2 linked regions of the Arabidopsis thaliana genome follow. The protein of the gene in region 1 purifies or fractionates together with the protein of each later gene. This does not show direct contact. Each region holds a gene or a part of one and is shown on either strand. Other genes may lie near its edges.

Region 1 (5,152 bases):
ACACATAAAAAACTATGTTGCCACAAAACGAGCTTATTTTTATTGGGTAACAAGAGAGCAAGGATCATTGGAATGGTTCAGTGAGGTCATGAACGAGGTAGCTGAGTATGATAGTGAGGGGATGATTGAACTACATAATTACTGCACTAGCGTGTATGAGGAAGGAGATGCGAGGTCAGCACTAATCACCATGTTGCAGTCATTGCACCACGCCAAGAGCGGCATTGACATCGTATCGGGCACTCGGGTCCGAACCCATTTCGCTCGACCCAATTGGCGTAGTGTCTTCAAGCACGTCGCAGTCAACCACGTCAATCAACGAGTTGGTATGTCACTAGCTATTACAACAATTCCATAGCTATTGTAGAATCTTTCTAGTAAGTAACTGATTTTCCTTTTTCTATTTTGTTGGTAGGGGTTTTCTACTGTGGTAATACATGCATCATAGGAGAGTTAAAGAGACTGGCTCAAGATTTCTCTAGGAAAACTACGACCAAGTTTGAGTTCCACAAGGAAAATTTCTAGTTTCGATTCTATTCATCCATCAGACCATCATTAGAAAATAATAAGCAAAATATGTCAAGCTGATATCTATTATAATTATAACCACACTTTGAAGGGGTTCTAGATTCAAAAGTTGAGACTACAACTTGAAGTTTTCTATAATGTAAAGAGGAGAAAGAAGAGTGTACATAAAAGAGGACTTAGGCGTAGTAATTCAAGCTTGCTTTCTTCTTGGCTTGTACTTGAATTATACCTTCATTGAAATCCTCATGGTTCACCTGCACACACATTTACCATTTCCTCCATATCATCCACATCCTAAAGTTACAACCACTAAGACGAAAGATATATGCATACCTCAGTTGCATCCCGGCGCAGGGCAAGCATACCCGCTTCAACACACACTGCTTTGAGTTGAGCTCCATTGAAATCATCCGTTGACCGAGCAAGCTCTTCAAAATTGACGTCTGCATTCACATTCATTTTCCTTGAATGTATCTGTAACCCCATCGCCAACATTATGCAAAAACAAAACAGTACCCAAGATAAGTTATCCGCGGAATACATAGAAAATCACAGCAAGACTTGTCTAAGTGCATGAAGCTCTCTAATTTTAGCTTTAAAACGACATAGAAATAAAGAAAGAAAAAAGAAAAGATGCAGTAAAGGATACAGAACCTGTAAGATCCTGCCTCTAGCTTCTTCAGTGGGGTGCGGAAACTCGATTTTACGATCCAAACGACCAGAACGCATAAGGGCAGGATCTAGTATATCAGCACGATTTGTCGCTGCAATAACCTAAGTTTGTAAAATTATGAGTTTTTCATGCCTTTCACTAAATAAATAGACATTTGCAGGGGTAATATGAGGGGTAACAACCTTAATGCGATCATCGCTGCTGAATCCATCAAGCTGGTTGAGCAGCTCCAACATTGTCCTTTGTACCTCACGGTCTCCACTAACTTCGCTGTAAGCCAATTAAAAGTCAGCATTAGTCATCAGAAAGAAAATAAAATAGTTATGACATGACTCTAGATAGAGTACCTATCAAAACGCTTTGTCCCTATTGCGTCAATCTCATCTATGAATATAATACAAGGGGATTTCTCTTTTGCAAGCAGGAAAGCATCACGGACAAGTTTTGCTCCATCTCCGATGAACATCTATACATAAGTCTAAAAAAAGTTACTTTCCGTTTGGTTCAAAAAATATCACAGGAACAAGATCAAAATCAGTTACGTTTACTCTAGTTTTCATACCTGAACAAGTTGTGGCCCTGCTAGTTTGAGGAAAGTTGCATTTGTCTGTGCTGCACAAGCTCGGGCCATCAACGTCTTTCCGGTTCCAGGAGGACCATACAAGAGTACACCTTTTGGTGGACGGATACCCAACTTTTCGAACTGCTCTTTATGAGTCATTGGCAACACAATGGCTTCAACAAGTTCTTGTATCTGTTTAATTACAAAAACAGGAGAGTCACCAACATCAAATATTGTACCAGAGATACTAAAAACTAAGGAAACATGAAACAGGAGAGTCATCAACTAGCCTGTTTTTCTAGTCCCCCTATATCATTGTAGTCTTCAGTAGGTTTTTCGTCGACCTCCATTGCTTTTACTCTTGAATCATACTCAGAAGGTAAAGTATCCAGAATCAAGTAACTATCTTTGTTAACTCCAACTAAGTCCCCAGGCTTCAATGTATCTGGATCAACAAGTCCAACAACAGGGAGGAAGATGGTCTGAAAAGTATAATTAACCCATGAGATCATTATACAAACACTACACTAGTAGTCAGAGTTTGTTCCCCACTAGTTCTGAAAATCTCTCTAACGGTGATATAAGAGTCTAAAACTTCACCTGACGAGTTGATGTTTTTAGAACGACACACTTTCCCTTCCTCTGAGAGTCCAGATCGATATTCGCTCCATCTTCCTCTGCATCATCCTCTGGACTCATCTCAAGAATCTAGAAAGCACGGATAATAGATCAAATCCTAATTCCATCATTACACAAAAAAAAATTTGATGGTAAAATGTCTGAACTACTGTGGCAAAGATTCAAGGAATTCATCAGGCTAACACTACTAGTAATCAAAAGCATAGTACAATTGTGTCACTCAACAAAAAGGAATGTTATACATACCAAAACCAAAAGCCCCATATAAGGAATGTGAAACACCCCAAGAGAAGAGTCAGTGAAAGTACCTCAACGATATTGCCAACTAAGTAAGGAAGCTGTTTGTTAAGCTTAATCTTCTCCTGGTTCTCCTTTATTTTCTCCTTCACTGATTCCAAATCAAGGTTTGTCCTCTGCGATTCTTCCTACAACAAATCAACGTATTTGAGAGAAAAAGACATCAAAAAATTCTGGTGAATTTCATCCAATGAGCAAAAGACCAGTAAATATAAATGTCTTCTAATCATATTCTATAATTATCTAACTATAAAAACAAGTACTTTGAGTGAATTTCGATATCTTTGACTGATAAAAAGTGTGATATGAAACAAGAGTTATCGTTGCTCTCAGACATCATCCATCTTCTTCAAAACTAATCAAAGTGTCGCTAATCAAATTAAGGTAATAGTGAGCTTGGAATGAAGAAATATACTAGTTCCAAGTAGCCAGCAGATTAAAAATATAGAGAGAAGAGAGAGAGGGTGGTGACCTTGAGGATGCGAATCTCGTTGGCTAAGAGACGAGAAGCTCTACCGATGTCATCAGTAGTCATGGAAGCTAGTTGGTCTCCCTCGAAGCTCGTATCCTCCGCCATCGCCGTTGCCATCTCCCTTAGCAGCCTGAGTTAATCACTGTAAGAGTCTACGAGAGATCTCAGAAGACATAAATAGGAAACAGAGTTTGGCTTTTGGGCGAAGAAACAGCTTTAATTTAATAACACATGTATTGTATTAAATATTATCACAGTCAATACCCAACAACAAATCCGATGTCGTCCAGCGGTTAGGATATCTGGCTTTCACCCAGGAGACCCGGGTTCGATTCCCGGCATCGGAGCGTTTTTGGTTTTGTATCCTTTTTATTTTTTTCACAATGTATCTTATATCTATTTTAAAATCAAGTTATTGCTAAGCAATCTGGTCAAATTGATGATGTAGTTTTCTTAAAAGCTGACCAAAAAAGAAGTGAAGCCAAATGGAAACAAGTAAGAAACTGTTCAATATTCAAATCGGAAGGGTGAAGAAGAGAGTTGAAGATTGTATTTACTATTGCTAACGAACAAACACATTACAATTTTATCATAATATTTCAAGATCCTTTAAGTATGATTCTCCTAATCGCATGTTCACATTTACCAAGTGATTTGAAACAAGGCAGTCTGCGGCCAATGTGATTTTGGTCAGTCTATTTGTTCTTCTCCATGACGCCTGCAAATGAGTAGAGTTCAAGCAAAATACAAATCATTGTAAATACAAGCGTGCGTTCTAATGATTTGCAGGTAAGTTAGATGCATTTGTATTTCTTCATCAGAGATTTCCATGAATAAGATGGATTCATGCCTAGAGTAGCAATGGAGAGTTACGCGTGTCACTTACAGTATGATTTAGGCCAAGAAAACTTAAGACTAGACTCATACTACGCTTTTAATCCCTGCATTCTTGTCGAATTCCTCTGAAGGAACCACGTCCGCAATAATCTTTTCTTGACCGCGCCAAAGAATCTGCCAATGATTATGAGACCATCTTTAAAGCTTTAACTTGGAAAAGTATGAAAACAAATTCATCATTACGCACAGGCAAACATCAGGAAAAGGTAGAAGAGAGGGAAACTTGACTGGAAAGGTTACTTTGCTTGGTGACGATATGTAACCTTTAATCTTTTAGTATGTGCATATGAAAAGCAACATCAAAAAATTACAGTGCCCAAACTTACCCTGTCAATGACTCCAAATTCTTTAGCTTTTGGTGCATCCATGTAATATGGCCTTCTCATTACGTTAGCTACAGTCTCCACGGACTATATGACATATAAGAATGTTTTAATCAGCTATCAAATTTCTCCACAAAGTTATGAAAATATTTCGCACTCACATTCCCAGTATGCTTTGATAGTAGTTCCACAAGTATATCCCTATTTGTAATGACCTGCAATTGCATAACAGGAATGAGGAAGATGAAGTAATCAAACTCAGATTCTTCACCTAATTAGGTCATGAAATTCTGAACCAAATGCTTAAGTGAGAAATTTCTGTCCAAATTATCAGAGATATAATATAGGAAAGTAGGTAGAAGCAAAGCAGAAAGAGAAAATCTCGATCAAATTTAAATTTCCAGAATATTAAGTGTGTAGAGCGATTCATCAAACCTCTTTGGCCCGAATCAGGACATCACTGGCAGGCATCAACCCAGAAGAAGGTACACGTGGTTGCTGAATCATCGCTGTGACATAATGAATCAAACGTATGAGAGGTTCTGATTATCAATGGTGAGCCATAGAAGCGGCCAGAATGCAGTCGAAGTCTATACCTTTGGCATGTGGCATCATAAACCGTTTACCCTTGGTTCCCGCAGAAAGTAATAGACAGGCCTGACCTATGGCTGCTCCCACACATACTGTATGTACCTGCACAAATAAGAACCAACATGCTCACATGAAAAATACCGTGGAGACGAAAAAGTGTTTATCTCGGT
Region 2 (4,967 bases), about 26 Mb from region 1:
GTAAGAAGAAAACCAATTTCATCATTTCAACAGCAAAAGGAACAATCTTTGACATACCCATTAGCGTGACGGTAAATATATTGATCATGACCCGATTTAGTAAAATCTGCAAAAACATTGAAAAGGGTTTAATTCACTTCACACTATCAAAAGGGGTTTTGAAAAACACTAAACAGTAGGTGAATCTGAGAACCTGTGATGAAGTAAGAAACAAAATTGACTTGTGTAGCTGAAGGAGGAGAAATCGGAAGTTCTCCAATATCTGAAAGCAGAAGCTTTCTCAATTCGTCTTCCTCTTCATCTTCTTGTGTAGCTAGCTGCTGCTTCTGTTGGTCGTCGCAATCTTCTACTTCGTCGTTTCTCTTTGGGTTAGTTAATTCGATTGTATCCTCAATTTCTGGAAACTTCGCTACATCAAGCTTCAGAATCTCCATTGTTTCGACTGTTTAACCTTTGACGGCGAAAAAACAATCGGAGTTACTTCGCCGATTTGTAATTACATAACTAATGGGCCTAAAGGCCCATCTACTGATCTTGGGTTTGAATCATGTTCATGTTCTTCTATATTACTAACTTCACTTCTTCAGTGAATTTATTTACCAGAATTTTGATCCCAATGTGGACTTGTGATAAAGTTTGAGATTTTGTTTTTTCATAAAGTAAAAGAACTGATGTGCATAATAACAAGAAAAAGTCAGATAATTCAAAATAACAAAAGTGTTAACAGACAAAAACAGTAGAATTTGAAACAAATCTAGAAATCATCATCGTCTTCCTCAGCCATGTATTTAGCGAGCTCCTCTTCTTGCTGTTTCATCTCCCTTCTTTTCTCCTCGCTCTCTTTCTCCCTGTGCGTGTTTGGCGGGAACCTCAGTGCTCTAACCGCTTCATTGTGCATATTCAAACAGAAGGCAATCCTCGAGTTAAACGCAGTCTGTGGTTCATTAGTGGAGTAGATGTCTCCTGTTTCCTTGGAGACCATACAACCGTTCTTGTGGTCGATGGTTGCGTCGATTGCTCCATCTCTAATGGCTTTAGCGACGATGCTTTCTGCATCAGCCACTGGGTTCGCTGAGTTCAGTCTCAGCTTTTGAGCAACATCCTGTAGAGAGATTCTGGAGTAGGAAATGCTGATGTTGCGCAGTCCTGTTCTGATCACGTTGTGTCGGAGTCTGACTATGAGGTTGTGAGTCCTGTCTTCCGCAAATGTTTTGGCAAACTTCTCTTGGATTTTCCCGAACAGCTCCAAGTCACCAATTCTCACAGCCTTACAAAATTTAAACAAGAGTATTAGCAAGAAAACCTTAATTAAAGCATATGTTAGAAATGTAAAAAAGATTGAACTCACGTTGGTCAGCTCAAAATATGGCCTAAGAGTCTTCTCCATTCCTTTCTGAGTGAAGATAGATCGTTCAGGTATTTCACCCAACAACAGCCGAACTATGATAGCCCACTTGTTGCACTGGATTCTGAATCCCAGAGATGCAACAGGTGCTTTCCTAGCAGCTTGGAGGAGACTCTCTTTTGCATCGGTGTACTCAAGTTGAATCGTCCTGATCTTGCCAAGGTAAAACAAGTACCTACAAAACTGTAAATTTATATAACGAGATGAGTATCGTTTCTAGTTGAAACATGTGAATGTAGTTTGGAGAAATTCACAGTGAAAAGTTGGCATTAGTAAGCATCAGAGAGGTTGGCATAAGTAAGCATCACAATTAACTTAGAATTAGAAACTAGAATGTATGAAAGGGTTACCTGTTGGTTAGAGTGTGCCTCAAATCGAGGCGCTTTTGATCTCAACTTCTCTGCTTGGTCGTACAGGTTGTAGTGTAGATAATTGCGAAGCAACAGATTCAAAAGTGTTTCCTGGCCCAATTCGTCGTGGCGCAGTGTGGCCGAATGGTGAAGAGCAAGAAGAGTACTGCAACAGAAAGAGAGACAAGTTAATAAGATAATTGAGTGTTGAACTAATATGATAAAAGTTGAAAGATGACTGTGAACTTGTACTCACCTACGTATCTCTGCAAGATCATTAGTTAGCTCGTAACTTAAGGAGTAGTAAAAATACAATTTGGAAGCAATGACATCAACGGTTCTCCTGTTTACGCTTTTGAGGCGAGCAATGCTAGCGGTAGAACAAACTTTGGCCTGAAAGCAAAGAAAGTAAAACAATGAAGACCACAGCAAGATTTATAAATAAAGTATGTCAGTTAGAGAGATAGAGAAGAAGTAAACCTCGTTGTACTTTTTCTGATCAATGAGAAAAAGAAGAACAATGAAGTAGCAGTAAATCTCGAGCTCTGCAGGTAGATGCTTAGGAGGAGCTTGGGAATTCGATGATGCTGTATCAACTTCCATGTCATGTTCATCACTCTGTACCAATATTATAAATTCCATCAAATTAAGGGCAAACACTAATACATGAATCTAATTACAGATCCTAGATAAGCTCGTAATCAAAGTGGACAAGTGAAGCTACACATACCTTCGGCACAAAAGAAGAGAGACGAGTGTGAGCTTCAGATCCAGGAACCAAAGCGAAATCAAGGAAAGAAGAGATCACGGAACCCGTGAGCTTCCTTCGTAGTCCAACGGTGAGACGCACAGCACGAGCAATACGACGGACTTCCTTTGTATAAGATCCAGTATCAATCAGAGCTGCAATCTCCTTCAAATCTGGAGAAAAAAAAAAGCAGTACAACGAATTCAATTTTGAAACAAACCTAGCAATGTGAGATTAAGAGAAACTGAAGCATAAGATAGAGATTTACTCTGTAGCGTGGAGGTAGGAGCAGAGACGACGGATTGCGTTGGGGTTTGGTTATCTTTCATCTCTACGTCCTGAGTCATCTTTTTCGCAAATCTCAAGTCGTCTTCTTCTTGACGAAGGTAAATTAAAAATTGATTTGAAAAGAGCAGGGCTTAACGCACACATAAGTACTCTTATGTTTTCCTTTTTCTTTTCCTAGACAGAAATTACCAAATTATATTTGGGAAAAATGTTGTTTTATACGCGAACTTTCAAAAAGTAGCTATTCTATACGTGAACTCTGACGTCGGCCAAAATAAACATGAAAAATACGTTGACCAGCCATTTTAACAGAAACAAAATGTTGACCTCGCCAAAATCCCGAGACGTTAACTCGCTGATTAACCCCGTTAAGAGAACGTTAATGAATTCTGTTAAGACCAAAACGCCGTCGTTTCAAACCTAACGAAACAAATCAAAATGCCCAAATCGAAAACTCAATCCCTAATTCTCTCAAACCAAATCCCTAATTCTCTCATTGGTAAAATCGTGTTTGTTCTTCGATTAATCTTGTTGTGATTGCCTTAGCAATAGAAGGCGAAGTCGACATTGCTCCTGTTCCACCACGACGAGTAGCTGAAACCGGAGATGGAGTTTGATGGTGGAGTTCTAGCTTTGCCGGCTGTTGTTGTAGCAGAGTCTTCTGTCGGAGTTGAAGCTCAAAGAAGATAGATTGAGAGAAGTTGGATATAAGAAATCGATTTGGGGAAGATGAAGACTTAGGGTTTGAGTTTTCGATTTGGGGATTTTGTTTTGTTTCGTTTAGAACAAAACGACACCGTTTCGGCTTTAACAGAGTTTATTAACGTGCTGTTAACGGGGTTAATTGGGTCTGTTAATGCGAGTTAACGTCTCGGGATTTTGGCCAGGTCAACGTTTTGTTTCTGTTAAAATGGCTGGTCAACGTATTTTTCATATTTATTTTGGCCGACGTCAGAGTTCACGTATAAAATGGCCACTTTTTGAAAGTTCGTATATAAAACAACATTTTTCCCAATTATATTTTTCCATTTTATTTTTTTCTTTCCCTTGAAGGCAGATATTATCTTGTTTGTTAATACTATTAATGTCATTAATTAGAACATCAAAGTCGTTGTAGTATAGTGGTAAGTATTCCCGCCTGTCACGCGGGTGACCCGGGTTCGATCCCCGGCAACGGCGCTAACATTTTTTTATCGAGTAAATCTATTGTTAATACGGTGTCGACGAGTCTATGAGCTTCCTTTCCTTTGTTGTGTCTGTCTCATTAGAATTTTGAAGATCAACCCAAATTCGAGAATCGATGGTTTCTGGCTTTCTACTTCCATTTTTTTTCTCTCTCTGTGTAAATCTGCTTCCATTTGTGAGTTATTTTCGTTATAATGTTATATAAGAATTCAACTTTGCAAGGGTACTTGTTGGAAATAAAAGAATCAACTGTTCCATCACATTAAAACTGATAACCAAAGAAAAGAGGTAATTTGTCCAAACTGTGTCTCACTCTCACCTAAACAAAACTACAAAACAGAGGAAAAAAGAAAAGAAAAGAGGATGCCTCAGTAGTTCTTCTCTAACAAAAACCCAAGACGACGACCAACCATAAAATAAATTGAACATATATTCCTAAGCGACTCTAAACAAAACAGACCACAAGCTAAAACACTGTCAATCAATGGATAGTAAAAAAAAAAGAAGGGGAATGAGATACACTTATGGCAAACATGTCTTCTTGATGGACAGAAGAAGCAAACATAGAAAGAAAGTGAGAGAACAAGGAGATAGAAAAAAAACATCCAACGACTTGGGCTTTTTTCTTCTTTTTATGTTTGTGTAAGAGAAACCTCACTCTCAAGCAGCTGCCTGGACTGGTGGTCCATCTGATCTGTTGTTGAAACCACCATCACCACCACGTCCTCCTCCTCTTCCACGTCCTCCCCTTCCACGTCCACGTCCACGCCCTGCATCAAACCAATTCAAAACTCATGGCTTCTTCACACAATTACAGTTCAAGAACCAGGTAAAAGAATACAGAATGTTTTAATTTATTTTACCACGACCCTGAGGACCATCATAACCACCACGGCCCTGAGAAGGACCATCATAACCACCACGGCCCTGAGAAGGACCATCATAACCACCACGGCCTTGAGAAGGACCATCATAACCACCACGGCCCTGA

Evidence for each region. The genes of interacting proteins can lie anywhere in the genome.
Region 2: the proteins of RPT5B (region 1) and AT1G75990 fractionate together in Arabidopsis thaliana (co-fractionation; one large-scale study listed by BioGRID). This does not show direct contact.

Annotation. Positions count from the first base shown.
Region 1 is NC_003070.9:2,935,971-2,941,122, forward strand, and holds RPT5B (26S proteasome AAA-ATPase subunit RPT5B), read right to left. Parts: upstream 3,394-5,152; 5' UTR 3,289-3,393; coding exon 3,172-3,288; intron 2,828-3,171; coding exon 2,711-2,827; intron 2,472-2,710; coding exon 2,364-2,471; intron 2,246-2,363; coding exon 2,054-2,245; intron 1,956-2,053; coding exon 1,764-1,955; intron 1,668-1,763; coding exon 1,549-1,667; intron 1,472-1,548; coding exon 1,384-1,471; intron 1,303-1,383; coding exon 1,183-1,302; intron 1,003-1,182; coding exon 862-1,002; intron 783-861; coding exon 705-782; 3' UTR 558-704; downstream 1-557. Other genes in the region: RBOHB (respiratory burst oxidase-like protein), read left to right, coding at 1-326, 416-525; AT1G09130 (ATP-dependent caseinolytic (Clp) protease/crotonase family protein), read right to left, coding at 3,761-3,889, 4,102-4,182, 4,395-4,478, 4,553-4,606, 4,827-4,900, 4,988-5,084. UniProt on the Arabidopsis thaliana protein: The 26S proteasome is involved in the ATP-dependent degradation of ubiquitinated proteins. The regulatory (or ATPase) complex confers ATP dependency and substrate specificity to the 26S complex.
Region 2 is NC_003070.9:28,523,869-28,528,835, forward strand, and holds AT1G75990 (PAM domain (PCI/PINT associated module) protein), read right to left. Parts: upstream 2,981-4,967; 5' UTR 2,851-2,980; coding exon 2,772-2,850; intron 2,677-2,771; coding exon 2,486-2,676; intron 2,374-2,485; coding exon 2,236-2,373; intron 2,149-2,235; coding exon 2,012-2,148; intron 1,922-2,011; coding exon 1,756-1,921; intron 1,589-1,755; coding exon 1,349-1,588; intron 1,268-1,348; coding exon 755-1,267; 3' UTR 536-754; downstream 1-535. Other genes in the region: AT1G75980 (Single hybrid motif superfamily protein), read right to left, coding at 58-106, 194-434; AT1G76010 (Alba DNA/RNA-binding protein), read right to left, coding at 4,637-4,746, 4,840-4,967. UniProt on the Arabidopsis thaliana protein: Acts as a regulatory subunit of the 26 proteasome which is involved in the ATP-dependent degradation of ubiquitinated proteins.